2 linked regions of the Caenorhabditis elegans genome follow. The protein of the gene in region 2 interacts with the protein of the main gene of each other region in a biochemical or structural test. Each region holds a gene or a part of one and is shown on either strand. Other genes may lie near its edges.

Region 1 (5,388 bases), on a different chromosome or scaffold from region 2:
AAACTGATAGATCTCAACGAACGGAAAAATAATTAATGGCTGAAACCACGTGATAATTGTTGCAAATAATAAGTATTAATGAGAATTGCCAAGATAAAGTAGGCAGGTAGTTCTGACGCCTACCACCTAAACCTGGAAAATTCTGAGGCACTTGAGAACTCATTTTCAAAATTCTAATATTTTAACTTTGAAAACGAATCATGTCAAGGGGCAAAGAATTTTTCCAGTGTTTCAATTATTTTAAAGTTATTTTAATTTCAATTTTTTTAGTATTTTAAATTTAAAAAAGAACTCACCTTAAACATGAAACTGGTTGTGTAATTTGTAATTCCGAATTAAATAATTCTCGATTTAATGATTGCTGAAAAATAAATGTGAGTAATTCTGAAAATCTTAAAAATTAAACTAACTGGACATAAATGTGGATTGATTTCAAGCTCAGCTCGTTCTTGTTTCATTAAATTTAAAGATATCTCAGGTATATCGTCTGCTCTGAAGTACCTCGTAAGTTTCACTACCACGTGATCTCGTTTTGTCTGAAAATTGGTATTCTTTATTTTGTTTTGAAAAATATATAATCTCTTATCATTTTTTGAATACTATGTGTAGCCCTGTCAAAGGAATTTACCTTTTTTGATAAACTCAGTTTTCGGCTTTGAAAATCCAGAAGAAAAATTATCCCTGCGTTGTCAAAACTAGAAAATATTGTAATTTTGTTGCTCTTAGAATTTTGGCTTTAAAAACTAGTTATCCCAATTTCCTATTTAAATTCTAAAATAAGCTCATCAGTTGGTCACGTGAATGTGCTTTGTCAACAACAAAGAGGAACATTATGTTCTTCTCACAGCTCATAAAAGTGAGCAAACTTTCTACTTTTATTGTGTATACTAAAATGTATGTTTTTGTGATGATACTATAAAAGTGTTTGAATTAAAAAGTTTATGTTTTTTCACTTTCAATGCATTCTCTAATTCTCAACGACTTCCCGCGCAATCCGATTATGACACGGTTTTTAGTGGGTTCTGAAGGACGAACAAGTGGGCAAATGACTCAATGACATCTTCCTTATACTTTTATGTTTAAAAAAGTATTCAGTGCTATCAGTCGAAAGGAAAACATGAAGGGAATACATGAACCCACTAAAACTGTGTCAATATTTACACAAGTGCGGTTCTCTCCTCCTCTAAACCAGTAGTTCAAGGAACAAGGGAATGAAGAGATATAGAGAACAAGTAAATTGATAGTTGTTTGGAATTTGAGAAGAGGTCAGCAGAGATTATAAAGTATCAAAGAATCTCTAGTTTCAAAAAGAAAACCTCATTTTTCATTTTCCAAAAAGTTCAATTTGTCCTTAAACCCCCTTTTCTATCAATTTATTTCGAAATTGTCAAACATCACCCGGTTTCTCGCAACATTAATTTTTAAATGCCGAATTTGTTATCTTATCGCTACATTCACTGAGTGTTGCCCATTATATAAATATTTCATTGTAACACTGTGGAACGATTTGATCTATTGTGGTTCTGATTTTTGAGGAACAAGTTTCCAAGAAACAATTATTTCAAAAACCTTAATATGGCAGAACCATCTGCTGACATGCCTCACGATCTCATTACTCACATATTTAAATCCGCATATTGCCGCTATCACATACGGCTCGTTTTGTGACACTTCTACGAATACTGAATCTCGTAGCCTGTACAATGTGCCATCATGTGATTGAAACCCTTTTAGATCACTGTCTTGTCGATACCGGTATACCTGAAAAAATATGTTTAGTAAATCAGTAGATTTGTATGTTTCAAACTTTCAACTAACGATATTATATTAGAAACTAGTCTGTCTTATTTATCTTTCCGGTTTCTCTGTATCTTTGAGGTGAAATGAACTAGTGTTCACTTGTACTTGTCGTCTGCGTCTCTCCTCTCATTAGCTTCAGTTGTCAATTGGCACCTCGTCTCACACTAGGTCAATGCCAACTAACACTAAACTGTGAGAGAATGAAATATTATGAGCGCACATTTCAAAACAAACAAACAAATCATATAATGCGGCAAAAAATGTTTTTTTGTGTTTGTGTGTCTATTGTCGCATAGTATCTATCTTTTTAACTCTCAAGCGTCTCTTTTGTTTGTACTCTCTTGAGGGAAGAAGCATCTCTCTGGGGTCTCCGAAAACTTCTGTTGACTTTGCTTTCCTTGCCAGCCAGAAAAAAGCAATTGTCTCGAATTTCAGATCAAAAATTGGGCAGCTGTTTTTGCCTCGCTTCGCTTTTTTTTGGAAAACATGCGCACAATTCGAGGAAGTATGCTGCCGACTGACAACTAATCTAGTCAAAGTTCAATTTTCAATTTTTGACGAAACGAGAAGAGAGGTCACTTCGGTTTTTTTTTCGGCTCGCGATCTTCTCAGTGTTTGACTATCTGGTTCTTCTCGATTTGAAGCTCGCAATGTGTGTGTGTGTAAGCGCAATGTTTGAGGTTTAGCCATCAAAACGTTTCGCAGAAAAAACGGGTGAAAAAAGATTGAAATCCAGGTTTTTGTCTATTTGTAGCGATGTTCGTCTAATCGGGAGAGAATTTGAATTATGACCAGCGTCTCCTCTTCCTTTTGACCTCCCCTACACACTAAACTGCCTAAATGTCTGTGTCTCTTCCAAAAACTCGACAGAACGACAATTAATTGGTTTTTCGAGTGTTGAGATATTGAAGGGGAAGAAGATACGCATACATAAGATGTCTATTCAGATTATAACTATTAAAGAGTACAGGAAATTACTCAAATTTCAGATTTTTGAATTAAAAAATGACTTACTATTCCACGGCAATTCCTATCCGATTTGCCTGTAAGACTATAATAACATGGTTCAATATCGTAATGCTTTTGGGAAAATTCTGGTTCGTCATCGTTTTCCATTGGGGAAGAAACGCCGTCTGAAATTTGATAATTTATATTTTAAATTATTTCAAGTAGGCGGTCTTTAGAATCTAGATCACACAATCAAAAGTTACAAAAAAGAATTGCCGCATGTGTCTTCTTATGTGTTCGTACATTTGTTCGACTAATCCGCTAAGCGCTAATCCGCAGCGAGAATCATAACATTTTACGCTGGTGAAGATGGGGCCATCTTTCTAAAAGAACGGCCCCCACTGGGAATACCCGTATCTAGGTTGACATGACATACAAGAAGACACAGAGACGGTTCAGTTACAATTTCATTACCTTGGCTATCCTCAGATGACGACGGCACACATTCGTCCTCTTTGTTGACGTCTTCACTACTGCACTGGCTGTCAAAGCGGCTCATCTTTGTCTTGTTGCCTTTTTTAGTTTTTCCAGTTTGCTCCCCCAAAAATGATGAACTATCCTAAAGAATTGGTCTTAATTTGAATCATTGAGAACACACGAAAATCAGCTGGATAAAAAATGAAAAGATGAGATGAGAGAGGAAGATGGTGATGAAAAGCACAGAAGTTCTTTTTTCTTTCCCTCCGGAACCCTCTAGAGCCTAGTAAAAACACAAACTAGAACAGCACCGAGGGATAGAAGAAAGGAAGACGGGAGAGAGGAAAGGGATGAAGACGGGGTGGGGTGTGGGAGTGGCGTGGGGCGGGCGAGGGTCGTCGTCGTCGGTTAGTGGGGCACATACACAGAGCACATACACGACTGGTCCGTTAGGAAAAGAGACATTGGCGGCATCGCCGTCGCACCGCATTCATCAAATATTTTGGTGTATTTAGCAGCAGGAGCAGGACCACCGAGCGCCAAGGAATCTGATTGACTCGGAAGATCCATTAGAAGTCAAATACAACAGTAATTGGTAACACACATTTTCTAACTTACACAAATCAAATCTTTTCAAGAACTTGAATTGTTCACTATTTTCACAATCAATTAAGATCACAAGAGAAAATGTTTACTTAACTCAAGAACTTGATCAAACTTCATAAAATCCTTCAAAAACCTTCAAGCTTAATAAATTACTGTAACTCGTCATACGTTCGCACCTACTTAGCGCATACTAACAGATGATAGTAAATCGCAACATCATCCATTAAACGACTTGTCTTGTCCAGCATGTCGCTCAAAAAAGTCAAGTGATGATAAGAAAGAGGAAGAACGACAATTGTCAAGAAGGGGCAAGGTGTAGGAAAAGAGCTCAGTTTTCACACGTGACCTCGGCTCAACTTTCAGAATGAGTCCTGAAGTCTAGATCCTAGTGGACACTGTACTCACATTCAACTACCATAAGAATTGGGGAAAAATAAGTGTGTGTGAGAGAATGAGAACTGTAAAACAGACGCAGAGAATAGTGCTAGTACATACCACAAAAAGGTGGAATAGTCGGTGGAAGGGGGAGGACGGTGTGGCGGGAAGGGAGGAGAGGTAGTCACCGAAGGAAAAGAGAGAGAGAGAGGTAGAGAGAGACAACCCGAGAGACGAGACAACCGATGTATGTTTGCGATCAAAAACAGTTCGACGGTGACAGTGACGACCTCAAAGCAGACCGCCACTGTGTCTTGGCTTTCCATGACGTGGCAACTTTTTCAAAATATGAAATAACTCATTACAAGTGTTGTTGTGCTCTTTCATTCAACCAAACAGTGAGGAACGATGAATTATAAGAGAAAGGGGGAACGGGGGATTAGCCAGAATTGAATAGAAGAGGATGACCTGCTAATGACAATATGGCAAACAAGATGAGAGTCTTATGAATATCATTTGAACATTTTGAGAATCAAAGAACTGGCAACATTTCAGATGTTTTCTTTTTCCAAAATTTATTATGATACGACAGCCATTTTCACACAGTTCGTAATGTGCATAATAAAAATACAAAACGTGGGAGAGACCTGATGGTTGGTGGTCAGGTCAATTGTCAGGCTAGACAAACATAAATGAAAGACTCATGGGTGGGAGGAGACTAACCAACCAGATAGATAGTTCAAGTGGAATACACAAAACTGACGTGATAACAACTAAACTGTCTAAATTTCAATTTTCAAGACATACAAAGAGAAATACGAGTTGAGGATTAATTGCAAAAAAGGGGAGGCACATCATTTTTTGATCTCTGGAACGATAATCCGTTTTTCTTCCAATTTATATGTAAGTGAAAACATTTACGAATTCGTAGAGATGAATAAGATTTGATTGATTGTGATAACATCAGATGTTCTGTTTCATCAGATAAGATTAGAGAAAAAGGCGGCGGTGTCAAGTTAGGTTCGTCCAAACGTTGTTGAGTTTCAAAGGTCTACTAATTGAGAGGTTTTGCAAAAAGAGTTCATCTAGGTGCACATAAAAAATATCTTCGGGTTGAATTGTGTCCGCTTCTTGCCGTGCGGTGGCAGCAATAGCAGCCGCTTCATTCCAACTTCTCTATTT
Region 2 (5,018 bases):
AATCAAAATAAGAATGAAAGAAGTTCACGAGAGGCAGGCAGAGGTTGCCTTAAAGTCAGGCAGGCAGGCGTTTTATCGCCTACGTGGAAGCCAGGGGTGTGCGGCAAATTTGCCGAATTTGCCGAATTTGCCGAGCACGGCAAATTTCAAAAAAGTAGATTTGCCGAATTTGCCGAATTTGCCGCACACGTCAAAAATTTGACAGTACAATTTTGACTAAAACTATTGATTTTTTAGCCAAAAATTTAGTAAAATGATACAAAATTGAGCTATTTTGATGCTTAAACAGACATACTACGCGGAACTTATTCAGAAACCAGATGTGTGTTAAGAATTCAGTAGTTTTGGTGCTCCAAAAAACATAAAAAAAATATCAAATTTTTCCGAGTTTGTTAAGCACGGCGAATTTGCCGAATTTGCCGAATTTGCCGAATTTGCCGAATTTGCCGTGCTCGGCAAATATTGAAAAAAGAGATTTGCCGAATTTACCGAGCTCGGCAAATTTTGAGATTTGCCGCACACCCCTGGTGGAAGCCCTAGGAGAGGCTACAGCAGTTATTCCAAAATTCTCAAGGTGGGTTCAAAAATTTCCTAAATTTTTCTCATGTCCTCAAAAAAAAGCAAATACACTACTAAAACTGAATCATGCACTACCAGATGCCTATCAGTCGCACCTTTTGATGACCTTCCCCCCTGGTTATCTCCAAAATGATGATCTCACAAAAATCCGTGAAGACGCAATAATATTTATGTTCCACCCTTCCACATCTTTCCGATATAACCTATCATTAGTACGGTTTTCTTGTTGGATAAAGAGGTTTCAGGGGCTGACAAAATATTTAATATGAATTGAGTAGAGGGGTTTTTCATATGATACTACCCTAAAAACATTCCGGATGACTGATCTTTTTAGGACCCCCACTTCACCCCATTCAAGCACCTCTTCTTTGTCGGCCATATATTCCGATCCGTCAATTTTGGTCGCAGATGACTTTAATCCGCAACTTCAGCTGCTCCGAAAGAGCACAACAACAATAACAACAGATAAGGAAGACAAGAGACCCGTAAATAGTGAAGAACAGATGCTAGTTGGGATGGTTTTAGGGGTAACAGTAAAGCATATATATCAAGAAAATTCAAAGGTATAGAAGAATATCAAAATGAGTGATTTTCACCCATTTGAAGATACTTTCAGAAAAATTGCAAAGCACGTAAAAATGCATTAAATTATTGGAGGACACTATTACAGACTCTGTGGCATAGTAAAGACAAAAGGTTGTATTTTATTCCAGCCATGTGTTTAATGTAACGTTTTGCAAATGGATATAAAAACAATAGTTCCAGTTATGAACCTTTAAAGCTCTAAACATTGTCATGTGGTTTGATTTAACTTGACTCTTCAACAAGAAGTATCTAAATATATAAACGTATCAAACACACACCCTCCCCTCCGACTTATTAATTGACACCATATGTCGTATGTATATATATACAAAAGTGATTGGGTGTGAAAATGCGGTAGAAATCAAACAAAAATGGGGGACCTGCGGTACTGTGAGGCGGAAATATGTATAGAGGGAGTTGGATTTATACCGAAAATTTCGTCTTGACAATTATTTTAGAATTGAATTTTATCGTGTTATTTTTTTTGAAAATTCTGCTCAAAGTTTTAAAAAATACCCTATGTTTTGGCAAAATTTAAGTCATTTTTCTCACAAATTTCTTGAAAATTCTACTCAAAAACTTGAGAAAAAAGAAACACCATACTAAATCATCAAATCATCATTAAAACCAAATACGGATTAGCTGCTCTACCCAAAGCGACACACATTCATCAATTCTTATCGGATTTTACCCGCAAAAACCAAAACTAAATTCAGAAAAAAAGAGAAAAAAGTGGCAGGGAGAGGAATCAGTAGTTGAGCATCAACCGACAGGTGGAAGAGCATGGTCGTTACGGTTTATTCAGCCGTCTGGCAGGAAGAACAAATTGGTTTGAAACTTGTTCTACTAGACTAGTTAGTAAAATATTTTGAGAATGTGCCAATAGCTCCACTTGCCACTATAGTAGAAAAGTATCATATTGTTCGAACATCCTTTCAACTTTACCAGTTGTCATTGTCATTGTCATTGTCATTGACTCGGTTGTCATTGGTTTTATCAGAAAATTGTCAACTGACAAAATGTTTGTCACATATTTTTTTAAAGTTTTCTAGTTTACTATATTTTGATATTTTTAAAATCAACTGAAATTAGAGCTTCTAAAGTGAGGAGGATTTAACATGGTGCATCAGCTCATATCTTGGTTGTCTTTTGATTTTATTTGAAATTGTCAACTAACAAAACATTTTTCAAATATTTTGCTATAATTTTTTCATTTTAAAATTACTAGCATTAAAATAAATAGAGATATAGGCTGTCCAACAAATTAACCTCAAATGAACCCACTTTGGCAGCTTATGCAACTTTATCAGTTGATATCTTGATTGACATTGGTTTTATCAGAAAATTGTCAACTAAAAAATTGTTTTTCACATATTTTTCTATAGTTTTGTATTTTACTATATGTTGATATTTTAAAAATGAACCGAAATATGTGCTCCTAAAGTGTAGAGGTTCAAACATGGTGCATAACTTTGTCACCACTTTCCTTGGCTATCTTTGGTTCTATCAAAAAACTTTTAACTAACAAAACAAATTTCATATGTTGTTCTATAACTTTGTAGTTACATATTTTTTCGTATCTTAAACATTAACCGAAATATAAACTGCCAAAGTTGCCCAATCAATGCACCATGTCCCCTAATTTTTCATTTCACATTTCGACTGTTCAAATCACAATAAGCAAATTGCCGAAAAATGTGAAATTTTTCATTCAAAATAAAAATCACTATCAGCAATTTTGAGCCAAACTTCATTGAGCACATTTGCTTTTAGTAGCAAGTGTGTTTTGCTCCAAATACTATAAAAAATAAACTAACTTCTTATATCCAAAATTCCCTCAATCGTATGTTTCGGAGATTCTTCTTCCTCGGCTTCTTCCGAACTCGACGGCGGCTCTTTTTTGACCTGCAAAAGAATACTATTTAGGAGTCATGAAGTCAGTGGACAAACCTTCAAAAGGTCAATGTGATTCATTTTCGTGTAAACTGTAGAGTGTCGGCGCTTTCTTTTGACCTGGAAAATGGTACGGGGTGGCGGCGGCTGATGAAAGATGACGTGGCAATGAGTGACGAGCTGGCTACTATTTTCAGTGACTCTATAGATAACAAGGGACGGGAGGGGGGCTGTAAAATGCGGAAATTTACAACACTTTTTGCTCACTTATTGTTGAATTGAATCTACATTATAAAAACACGATAATTTTAAGATATGAGCAAAACTTGCTGTCACTTTACGATCTCATGCCTACCTTATGCCTACTCTAGGCACCAGGCAGGCATAAAGGCCTACTGTACAATTCATAAAAAAAGAATGAAGTATGTGGAAAGTGGGACAATTATTAATATCTTCAAATTTTAATGCGTTGTGACACAAGACACAAGGGAAAAGTTTTAGTTTCAAAGGCCTAATTCCCTTGGCTAATACGATTTTAAACGGAAGAGGAGAGGTTTAATGTTAGAATAATTTAAAAGTTGAGGGAAATGGTTTAGTCTTAGATTTTTTTTAAAAGTAAAATCATATATTGGAAATCACAAAAGTTGGTCTGCTCAAAAGTTGTTTAAGTGTAATGAAGAATTTTTTTTTAGCTATTTGATAATTATTTTATAATACCTGCAATGTTTTTGTATGTCTTCTTACTTCAAAATAGCTCAAAATTGTCTGAAATTGCCCAAAAAACTCTTTGAAAACCCGCCAAACAACGTAGGAAACCGAAACTTGCTCGAGACTTAACTTTGAAAACTTGGTTGTTTTTGTCAACTGACAAAATATTGTACAATTATGCAATTAACATTATTAATCAATTTAAAACAAACCAAATTTTTTTCCACTTGCCAATATATAACTATTTTGGAAAATTAGAAAATCATCATATTAAACGAACATGGTGCATCGAAAAAAAACTTCAACTTTACCAGTTTATATTTCGGTTGTCATTGGTTTTATCAGAAAATTGTCAACTGACAAAATGTTTGTCACATATTTTTTTATAGTTTTCTAGTTTACTATATTTTGATATTTTTAAAATCAACTGAAATTAGAGCTTCTAAAGTGAGGAGGATTTAACTGCATAACTTTGACAGCTCATATCTTGGTTGTCTTTTGATTTTATTTGAAATTGACAACTAACAAAACATTTTTCAAATATTTTTCTATAATTTTCTCATTTTAAAATTACTAGCATTAAAATAAATAGAGATATAGGCTGTCCAAGAAGGAACGACATGGTGCATCAATTGAACCTCAAATGAACCCACTTTGGCAGCCTATGCAACTTTATCAGTTGACATCTTGATTGACATTGGTTTTATCAGAAAATTGCCAACTAAAAAATTGTTTTTCACATACCGTATATCTTCTATTAATATGGCCTCCCTATTAGACTTGCACTCCCTATTAGTATTGCCCCTCGGAGACCTTCCGAAAATTAGTATGGCACTCCCTATTAGTCTTGCACTCCCTAATAGCCTTGCGTTTACTCTTTTTTATTGCAGGCCCGTCTTGTTAACTTCAGGATTTCAACAAAAAAATTTGCCTATTTTGCAACAGTTTTTCACAACATTTCTACGAGATTGAAGTTTTTGAACTTATTATATATGTTACAATTAAAAGCAAATTTTCTGAATTTTTACATAAGATTCGAGCTTTTTCAGAAAAAAACTAGTAAGCTCAAAGTCAGAAAAATGTTCTGAAAATTAGTATTGCACTCCCTAATAGTCTTGCACTCCCTATTAGTATTGCAAGCGGGAAGACCATCGAAAAATAGTATTGCAGCCATATTAATAGAAGAAATACGGTATTTTTCTATAGTTTTCTAGTTTACTATACGTTGATATCTTTAAAATCGATCGAAATAT

Evidence for each region. Proteins that work in one complex are often made in the same cells at the same time.
Region 1: the proteins of lin-1 (region 2) and egl-27 form a complex in vitro, tested with the Caenorhabditis elegans proteins (one study listed by BioGRID).

The regions. Positions count from the first base shown.
Region 1 is NC_003280.10:6,833,000-6,838,387, reverse strand, and holds the start of egl-27 (Egg-laying defective protein 27), read right to left. Parts: upstream 3,368-5,388; 5' UTR 3,308-3,367; coding exon 3,223-3,307; intron 2,934-3,222; coding exon 2,815-2,933; intron 2,802-2,814; exon of another isoform or gene 2,695-2,801; intron 1,762-2,694; coding exon 1,621-1,761; intron 537-1,620; coding exon 411-536; intron 362-410; coding exon 297-361; intron 1-296. UniProt on the Caenorhabditis elegans protein: Transcription factor which promotes stress survival and delays aging. Required for cell cycle progression and development of the mesodermal and endodermal embryonic lineages.
Region 2 is NC_003282.8:2,297,149-2,302,166, forward strand, and holds the start of lin-1 (ETS domain-containing protein), read right to left. Parts: upstream 3,139-5,018; coding exon 3,115-3,138; intron 3,070-3,114; coding exon 2,982-3,069; intron 1-2,981.